Linked DNA regions of Oryctolagus cuniculus. The protein of the gene in region 1 interacts with the protein of each later gene in a biochemical or structural test. Links are inferred from orthologs where the notes say so. Each region holds a gene or a part of one and is shown in the gene's direction. Other genes may lie near its edges.

The links. The genes of interacting proteins can lie anywhere in the genome.
Region 2: of the proteins of LATS2 (region 1) and AMOT, one has a biochemical effect on the other in vitro, tested with the Homo sapiens proteins (3 studies listed by BioGRID). The link is inferred for Oryctolagus cuniculus from reciprocal best matches to the Homo sapiens genes LATS2 and AMOT.

What each region holds. Positions count from the first base shown.
Region 1 is NC_091440.1:91,908,561-91,914,093, reverse strand, and holds part of LATS2 (serine/threonine-protein kinase LATS2), read left to right. Parts: intron 1-93; coding exon 94-226; intron 227-1,888; coding exon 1,889-3,300; intron 3,301-4,449; coding exon 4,450-5,032; intron 5,033-5,533. UniProt on the Homo sapiens protein: Negative regulator of YAP1 in the Hippo signaling pathway that plays a pivotal role in organ size control and tumor suppression by restricting proliferation and promoting apoptosis.
Region 2 is NC_091453.1:80,576,157-80,580,643, forward strand, and holds part of AMOT (angiomotin), read left to right. Parts: intron 1-462; coding exon 463-1,179; intron 1,180-1,527; coding exon 1,528-1,625; 3' UTR 1,626-4,487.

The sequences.
Region 1 (5,533 bases):
AGGCACTCGGGCCGAGTCGGGGATGGGAGCCGCCGGTGGCTGTGTGCTGCAGTGACGATGGCGTGCACTCACATCTCCGCGCTTCTCTTCCAGGAGATGGCGGGCAGAGCGCTCAAGCAGACCGGCAGCAGGAGTATAGAAGCCGCCCTGGAGTACATCAGTAAGATGGGCTACCTGGACCCGAGGAACGAGCAGATAGTGCGAGTGATTAAGCAGACCTCCCCAGGTGAGCCCAGACCTCAGTGTAGGGGGTGAGGAGGATTTGGGACTCAGGAGCACAAAAGAAGTGCAGCTGGGCCTGGTCAGTGCCATCTGTTGGCCAGTCGCCTCCTTCCAGTAGTGGGTGAGCTGAGCCGGCCATGCCCCGGTAGAGGCAGCAGATCTCGGGTGGCCACCCCACCCCACCCCACCTCATCTGAAGTACCTGAAGTACTTCTTCCCTGGGGAATTTGTTTTTTTCCCTGAAAGATCTAAAAATACAGCAACCTAAGAATAAAAATGTTCTTTTACTTTCTTGTGGGCCTGTGGAAGAGTCTTGGAAAAGAGAGGTTTAGGCCGGCGCCACGGCTCACTAGGCTAATCCTCCGCCTGCGGTGCCAGCACCCCGGGGTCTAGTCCCGGTCGGGGCACCGGATTCTGTCCTGGTTGTTCCTTTTCCAGTCCAGCTTTCTGCTGTGGCCAGGGAGTTCAGTGGAGGATGGCCCAGGTCCTTGGGCCCTGCACCCCATGGGAGACCAGGAGAAGCACCTGGCTCCTGGCTTCGGATTGGCGCAGTGCGCCAGCCACAGCAGCCATTGGAGGGTGAACCAACGGCAAAGGAAGACCTTTCTCTCTGTCTCTCTCTCACTGTCCACTCTGTCAAAAAAAAAAGGGGGGGGGTTTAGTTCATTAATTTGAAAGCACACCTTTTTTCACACTGGAGCCCCTGAGAGCAGGTGCCAAATGGCAAGTGCTGCAGGATAGTGGGCCTTGTCCGAGTGCTGGGTTTCCCTTCAGAGGCCCTCAGGAGGCCCAGGGGCACCTGCGGTCCCTGGGGTGTGATAAAAGAGTCATGGGAATGAACACTTGGTGTGGTGGGAGGTGTCACATGCCTTGAAGGCTGTGTCTCACTGTGACGAGGACACCATTTCTGTTCTCTGGAGACCAGGAGTTTCCTTACCCAGTCCCTGGCTGGCGTCTGTGTGTGATCCTTACAGTTGGGTCTGGGGGGATGGGCGTCCTCCCCTGCCCATCTCCCTGCAGGCCAGATCAGCTCCGCTTTGCCTGTGCCCCACCATGTCCGCTGGCTGGGCCTTGGCTCTGCCTGTTGTTCCCCCCGGGAGGGGTCTCCCCACAACCCAGCACAGGTCTTTGCAGAAGCAAGCAGGGTAGAGCAGGGCTGGCACAGAGGGGAGCAGCTTCTGCCCTTCCGTCCCCGTGTCTGTGTCAAATGAGAGATTTGCACAGCAGGGAGGTCAGGATTAAGCAAGTCGCAGCTGAAACCCATCTGGTTATTTGTAGAGATTTTATGGGTGCTTCATAGTTTTAATAAAGGAGGTGGCAGAACAGCTTCAATTTCAAAAATAGGAAAAAGAAAAGTGGGCATTTGAACTATGTGGCAGTAAACCCAGCAGCCCCAGCTCAATTCAGCAAGGCAAAGAGGCCGCTGGTCCGAGCGTCCCCGCCCTGCCCCGCCCCAGGACTGGGACACTGCCCTCGGACTGCCTTGCCCCTTCCCGGTGCCCTCTGGACTCCAGCCCAACCCTGCACTGGGCCACTTTTGCGGCCACTGGTCCACAACGCAGCCCCTGGGATGAAGGCCCTGTGAGGCTCTCGGCCCCCTGAGGCATTGCCAGGTAGGGACCCAGAGCGCTGGGGCCCACTGATTCCGTCTTTCCATCTCCTGCAGGAAAGGGCCTGGTGCCTACCCCGGTGACGGTGACGCGGAGGCCCAGCTTAGAAGGCACAGGTGACGCGTTCCCACCCTACCATCCGCTGGGCGGCGCGGCCTATGAGGGCCCCGCGACGCTGGATGAGGTGCCGCGGCCCTACGTGGACTTCCTCTTCCCCGGGGCAGCGCCCCACGGCGTGCCGGGGCCCCCGCACCCTCCCAAAGGCTACGCAGCAGCGGGCGTGGAGGCGGCGGGGCCGCACTTCTCGGGCCCCGGCGCTGCGGGACCCGCGCTGCCGCTGCCCGGCGCGCACTATGGCCGCGCGCACTTGCTGGTGCCCGGGGAGCCGCTGGCCTACGGCGTGAAGCGCAGCCCCTCCTTCCAGAGCAAGGCGTCGCCCGAGGCTGCGGTCTACCCGGGCCTGACTGCCAAGGGCCAGGGGGGCCCGCCGGGCGCCGGCCTCGCCTTTCCAGCCCCAGGCGCCGCGCTCTACGCCCCACACCCGCACCACAAGCAGGCCAGCCCCGCGGCCCACCAGCTGCACGTGATGAGCGCCAGGGGCCAGATGTTCGCAGGCGACAGCCCCCCGCAGAGCCTGCTTGCCCCCTCCAGAAACAGCCTCAACGCAGACCTGTACGAGCTGGGCGGCGCCCCTGTGCAGGCTTGGCCGGCCACCTCCCTGGCCCGCCGCGACTCCCTGCAGAAGCCTGGTCTGGACGCGCCACGGCCGCACGCGAGCTTTCGGCCCGACGGCCGCGCGCCCAGCAGGACCAACTCCTTCAACAGCCAGCAGCCGCGGGCCAGCGCTCCCGTCCAGGCCGAGCCCTCCCTGCCTGCTCCCAACACCGTCACGGCCGTCACGGCGGCGCACATCCTGCACCCTGTGAAGAGTGTGCGGGTGCTGAGGCCCGAACCGCAGACGGCGGTGGGGCCGTCCCACCCGGCCTGGGTGCCCGCGCCCGCCCCGACCGCAGACGGGCTGGACGCTAAGGACGAGCACGCCCTGGCCCTCGGCAGCCCCTACCCGCTGGATCTGGAGTTGGGCAGTCCCGACCGCAGGTGCCCGCCCCCACCCTACCCGAAGCACCTGCTGCTGCCCAGCAAGTCGGAGCAGTACGACCTGGATGGCCTGTGTGCGGGTGTGGAGCAGAGCCTCCGAGGGGGCACAGCCGCCGAGCCAGCCGACAGGGCAGACAAGAGCCACAAGGGCGCAAAGGGGGACAAATGCGGGAAGGACAAAAAGCAGATCCAGACTTCCCCCGTCCCTGTCCGCAAAAACAGCAAAGACGAGGAGAAGCGAGAGTCGCGCATCAAAAGCTACTCACCTTATGCCTTTAAGTTCTTCATGGAGCAGCACGTGGAGAATGTCATAAAAACCTACCAGCAGAAGGTGAACCGGAGGATGCAGCTGGAGCAAGAGATGGCCAAAGTAATTCCCCGCTTCTTCTGTCCGTTTGCCCCACGTGCGCCCCTCAGTTGGTAACAGCAGGGTCCCTTTTCTGCTCCCACTTTAGACTAACCCTTCTCACAGGTGTGTTAGAGAAGTCACAGATGTTGCTACTTCCCTCTCCCACCCCCTTTCTCCTGAGGGATGGCTGTGCGTAATAGGGTTATCATGTGTGTCCTTATTCTTTAAAAAACTCAGCAAGGAGCCCGGTGCTGTGGGGTAGTGGGAAGAGCCTCCTTCTGCAGTGCTGGCATCCCATGTGGGATTAGGTTTGAATCCCAGCTTCTCCACTTCCGATCCAGTGCTCTGCGATGGCCTGGGAAAGTAGGGGAAGATGGCCCAAGTGCGCACCCTCATGGAGACCAGGAAGAAACTCCTCCTTGTGGCTTCTGATTGGCTCAGCTCCGGCCCTTGCGGCCATTTGGGGAGTGAACCCGCAGATGGAAGACGTTGTCCCTCTGGCTCTGCCTTTTAAATAAATGAATAAACCTTTAAAAAAAGAAACCATCAAAATTTGCATAGTAACACAACACTTTGAAAAATAGAAACAAGGTTTGGGTTTTTTATAAATTTAAGGAAAAATATATCTAGTAGTGATTCATGTATGCCCTAAGTAGCTAATAATGTTTGGCACTAGAGTGCTACAGAAGGTTAATTATTAATAAATTATTCAAATTAAAATGGAACACTAACTTTAAAGTCACACAGGGCCAGTAATTCTGAAAATCGAATCTGTGCTCTTACTTCCTGCTGTCTAGCATTCACTGACCTTTTCTTTCCTGCCATCTCATTTTTCCCTGGGCTATTAAAATATTAGATTGCTCTTGGAGTTTCAGGGATGTTGTGGTCCCATCCTAATGGAAGCACCCCTCCTTTCTGGAGCTTAAACTCACCCAGAGAAAGAACTATTCTTTTCTTACCTTGGATTCCAGATTTGTGGCTGGCTGTGGCTATAAAGGAGAAGGCCAAATATTATCTTGCTTGTAGTGTATAAGGCCCATTCTAAGGTGTTTTGTGTGAATTAAGTTAGAGCCCTCTCGGTTCTGGGGAGCCCCCAGCCCACCCCCTGCTGTGGCTTGCTGTGCTGGGACCCCCTGTAACATGGCTCCTCCTCCCTTTCCTTCAACACAGGCTGGACTGTGCGAAGCTGAGCAGGAGCAGATGAGGAAGATCCTCTACCAGAAGGAGTCCAATTACAACAGGCTCAAGAGGGCCAAGATGGACAAGTCCATGTTTGTGAAAATCAAAACCCTGGGCATCGGTGCCTTTGGAGAAGTGTGCCTTGCTTGTAAGGTGGACACTCACGCTCTGTACGCCATGAAGACCCTGAGGAAGAAGGATGTGCTGAACCGGAACCAGGTGGCCCATGTCAAGGCCGAGAGGGACATCCTGGCTGAGGCCGACAACGAGTGGGTGGTGAAACTCTACTACTCCTTCCAAGACAAAGACAGCCTGTACTTTGTGATGGACTACATCCCTGGCGGGGACATGATGAGCCTGCTGATCCGCATGGAGGTCTTCCCCGAGCACCTGGCCCGGTTCTACATCGCAGAGTTGACGTTGGCCATCGAGAGCGTCCACAAGATGGGCTTTATCCACCGGGACATCAAGCCTGACAACATTCTGATAGATCTGGATGGTCACATCAAACTGACAGATTTCGGCCTCTGCACTGGGTTCAGGTGGACTCACAATTCCAAATACTACCAGAAAGGTATTGTCTTGGGCATGCCACCTCCACTGTCCACACCCAGACCCCTGTTTGCGTGGGGGTGGCCCCTGATCATTTTGGAATTGTCTGTCACTCTATTTTATAGTCTGCAGTGACATCCTTTTCTCCCTAAAGAAATAGTGTGATGTGTGTTAGGTGTCTTTCCTTAAGGTAGTGGGTTTCACTTTTGCTACATTTTAGATCTTGGAATGTCACAGGGCCTTTGTGAAGAATTCTCATAACCCCTCCAAAAGGGGTCCTCTGTCACAACTAACCTGAATCTAATGTATATTTCACCCCATTCCTTAGACTCCTGCTATTTGAAAAGATAACAACAACAGCAAAAACCCAGCTGGTTGTTATCTTATTTATGGCAGGGATTCTTGAAATAGTTATTTTAATACCCTAACTCAGACTTAATTTTTAACAGACTTAACCTTTAACTCAAAACTCGCCCTGCACCATCTCCATCTTCTGGCCTTGGAGAATGTCGTGCATTTTTTA
Region 2 (4,487 bases), on another chromosome or scaffold:
GTTCCTTTGCTTAGACCAGAGAAAGCATTTGGGAACCATGCTCATGTTCAGAACCATAGATCACACAATTAATAGCAGACTTATCTGTGTCTTAAGACTTCTTCCTCTGGTCATTTCCAGCTCTCTGGTAATGTGTGGTGTTGGTTATAAGTGGAACCGAGTGGAAGAATTCTTTCTAATCACCATTGGGAAAAATAAAACAGATACTCAGAACACTTCACTGTTTAATGTGTTGTGCTGGGAGTTGGATAATGAGGACCAGGGATCTTCCAAATCTAGAAGAAACCATTAGCCATGGTGGAAAATGCTGATAAGCCAACTCCTGAGTTTGCTGGAGGCAAAAAGGTTAAGAATTTAGGCCCACTCAAATTTCTCCTGAAGTCCTGAAGAGAAACAGATAATCAGATGTATGGATTAGAATACTGTATTGTTTCCTAACCTCTCTCCCTTGTTCATTTGCAGGCATTCTCCTGGGTGGAGACTACCGTGCTGAGTCTGTCCCTTCCACACCTTCGCCTGTGCCCCCCTCCACTCCCCTGCTCTCGGCTCACTCCAAGACAGGCAGCCGAGACTGCAGCACCCAAACTGAACGTGGACCGGAACCCAACAAGCCTGCAGCTGTTACTCCCATCTCTGTTCCTGCTCCAGTTGCTGCTGCCGCCACTGCTGCTGCCATCACTGCCAACACTGCCACTGCTGCCACCAACACCAACACCATGGTAGCTGCTGCTCCAGTCGCGGCTGCTGCTGTTGCTCCAGCTGCCACTGCTGTTGCTGCTGCCCCATCTCCAGCAACTGCTGCTGCTCTTACTGTTGCTGCTTCTCCAGCTGCTGCTGCTCAGATGCCAGCTGCTGCCTCTGCCACCACCGCCACTGCTGCTCCTGCTGCTGCTCTTGCTCCTGTTGCTGCTGTTGCTGCTGTTGCAGTTCAGGTTGCTCCAGCTGCTCCGGCTCCGGTTCTAGCTCCAGTTCCAGCCCCGGCTCTGGCCCCAGCAGTGGCTCAGGCTTCTGCTCCGACTCAGACTCAGGCACCAACTCCTGCTCCGACTGTGGCTCCTCCTGCATCTCCAGCTCCAGCTCCAGCTTTGGCTCAGGCTGAGGCTCCTGCAAGTCCAGCCACTGGTTCTGGATCACGTCGTTTGTCTATACCAAGTTTGACTTGCAATTCAGATAAGACAGGTAATAATTCTCTACAGCAGGGAGCTTTTGGTACGGCTCTCAAAACGCAGGTTGATTTGTGGGTACCTGCTGCTCAGGCAGAGATGGTCATCTGGACTGAGCCCTTCATGTTGTAATGGGGAGCCATTAGAGGAGGGGAGAGGGTCTACAGATGATTTCTCTTCCACTGAGACAGGAATGGGCATGAGTAGAAGCCATTTTCCCAGTAGAAGTAAATGGGGGTGAGGGGGTGGCACTCAAGGCTCAATTTACCCTTACCTCCACGAGGGCTCTAATGCTGTCTGTTTCTAGAAAATTGAGCTTTTTAAATATCCTTATAAGTATCTTCAACACCTTATTTTCATTCAGATGGCCCTGTTTTCCACTCCAATACTCTGGAAAGAAAAGCACCCCTTCAGATCCTGGGACAAGAGCCTGAAGCAGAGATGGTGGAATATCTCATCTAAATGACCTTATCAAGAGCTGGAGTTTATCAGAAACAATGCTTTTAATCATTTCCCCCTTTTGTTTGTTCTTATTTTTAGGGTGAGGATAAGGGTTGGGGGGTGGGTATGTTTTCTAAAGGGACTTTTTATTGGAACAATATAGTACTTAAGTAATACCATATGAACTTCAGTCTATTCTGGTATACTCCGAAAGTACCTCTAAAGACAGACTCATCAGAATGTGTTCTGAAGTCTGTTGTTTGCATTAGTACAAAACTGGGACTGTTACCAGGTGGATATACAGTGATGTTTTCAGTGTGCTTAAATTTGTTTAAAATTTCCCTCTTCCAGATTATTTTCTATTGAAGAGCACAGCATGTGTGAAAGACAGTGTATAACATGTAGTGCAGACATGGAAAGCCAGAGAGAGTTCATGTGTGTGCTGTTTTGTGCAGTTACCAACTGGATAGCAGCCAGAGAAAGCTCTCACCTCAGGCTCATGAAAGGGAATAGTTTTAAGAGCTTATGTAAGCTGGAGAACAGGTGGGGAGCACTGGGATACAGAAAGATGCTAGAGCTAATTTTCCCTCTCAGTTTCCCAGCTACCTTGCCCCAAGGGATTGTGTTGATCTTCATTTCAGTGGTGCTTTGGAAGTGGGTTCTTTTGGTTCCCTCCTGGAGGTTCATACATTCATATATATATATATATATATATGTGTGTGTGTGTATATATATATATATATTCTGAAGTAATTTATGCATTTGGATAATTAATATATTGCTTTCAGATGCTAGGAGAGTAAATTAACTGAGTGATATGCAACTTCCTCTCTCCTAGGGGAGTTAGGCATCCAAGGCCTCTATGGAGAGTTGCATGAGGTGCTGTGTGTAGATTGTTATAGCCATGAACACAGCTTGTCTGCCTTTTGTGAGAACAATCAGCTTAGTATTTATTTCTTCTATAGCATAGGTTCACTAGCTGGATTACTTACTAGTCCCAAATTGCCAATAGTTTGCAAAATGAGAGAGCGTTTTTGTTGACAAGTTGAACGCTTTAAATTTCTGGTGACTGTTTTGAAATAATTCATTCTGTTTTTCCAGTTTCTTAGTGTATTTGACTATCGCCTCCAAGGGAATAGCACTAGAAGGCCAAAGTACTATGGTGCAGACAGAGGAGAGGTGGATTGTGTGGTCTTCTCAGTTGCCTCTTCTCATTGCCAGGGATTCCTTGAAATAGCTTTGGGAAGCAGTGGGAAATGTGTATGTGGGCGGGGACCAAAGGAGGCAGTGGCTGCAAGCCTTGCCAGTCTGTCTCCAATGACACAGAGGGTGCTACTTGCCACAGGCCCCTGCCCTGTGTCACCTCTCTGCCCTTCATTAAGGGGACAAATCTGCAGACAGTGTCATTAAGTTCAGTTTTCAGGGGTATAGGAAGGGTGAAGGGGCATTGTTAGGTAAGGGTGGGGATAGAAGTTTTGGGATATATTAGAAACCAGATTAATAGAAGAATAGGCCTGATATATTGTATCATGAGCCATAGTGATGGGAAGGAACTTAAGCAACATAGCCCTTCCCTCTAATTTTAGTGATGAGAATCTGAGACTTAGAGAGGTTCGGTGACTTTTTCAAGATCACACAGCACTGCTGTCCACACTGCCAATTACCATGCTGATTTTGGGAAACCCTTATACACGGAAAAAGAGCCCATTTTAAGAAAAAGACATCTTCATGGTCCAAGGCATCTGTGTTTTGTAAAATGTCCTTGGCTTGAGTAGTTTGTCCAGGGAGCTGACAATTCTTATCTTGCCTCTTGTGCAGTGCCTTGTGCAAGGTTTATCCTTTCCTGATCCCCACTTCAATAACAAGTCACAGGAAATGTCCTCCTAAGAAGTCAACCCCACTTTGTTTCTCCATATCAGACTTAGTGTCTCAAATCATCTCATGGGGTTCTGCGAGTAAAGGCATGGCACAGTTAGAAGTACTTTGTGTAGTTCTTATTATCTTCAAAATGAATTATTGTGTGCATGTGTTTGGGATGGGGAGATGAGGAAGGATAATGTGATTTTTCAGCCAGTCCTCATATTTTTATTAATGACATGGTCATTGGAATATCAGTTCTCCATAAAAATTAGAAGTGCAGTGGTATTAATACTTATTCATACTATCCTTAAAATAACAATAATAATACAACTGTAATGGTAGAAGCAGCAAGTAGCACACTTCAGAAGAGCTACTTTCTATCTATCCAAATGAAGGAATAAATAGAAGCAAACCTTTCACTTACTCCTTTCATGGTTGTAGCACATTGCCAGGATTTGTGCTCACTCTGGGAGCCATGAGTGTAATCACATTCTGGAATATGACAAATGTCATACATTCCACACCGTGTGGCAGCCATCTTTTTAGACTTAGGTGTTTTGGAGAAAGAAGGAAGTTCTTGGCTAAGTACTTTTGGGGCTTTCTAGAACATCTCTGCCCTCTCACACCAGAGGTAGTACCCTGTCTGCTCAATTTCCAATCCCAGATAATTTGCTAAAATAACATTGTACAGTTAAGAGATGGAAGAAGACCATGTCAGTGCATTATGTTTATGGAGAAGTTAGAATGCTGCCTTTTCAGAAAATCTCTGCAAGGTATCACTTAAAAAATTCAGGTTCATGGGAGAAATCTCAAGGTAGCCACCTTTTCACAATTGTGTGGATCTAACACTTAGGGGATCTTTCTGGACTCCCACCTATCTATGCATTTTGGTGTCACCTCAGGACAGGAGGCTGACCTTGTTGTCTTAACTTATACTGCCTGGTGTTCTCTGTAATGAGTTGCACCCACAAGTCCCATGAACAGAACAACTTCATTTGAACAACTTTTCCTTGATATAAAATT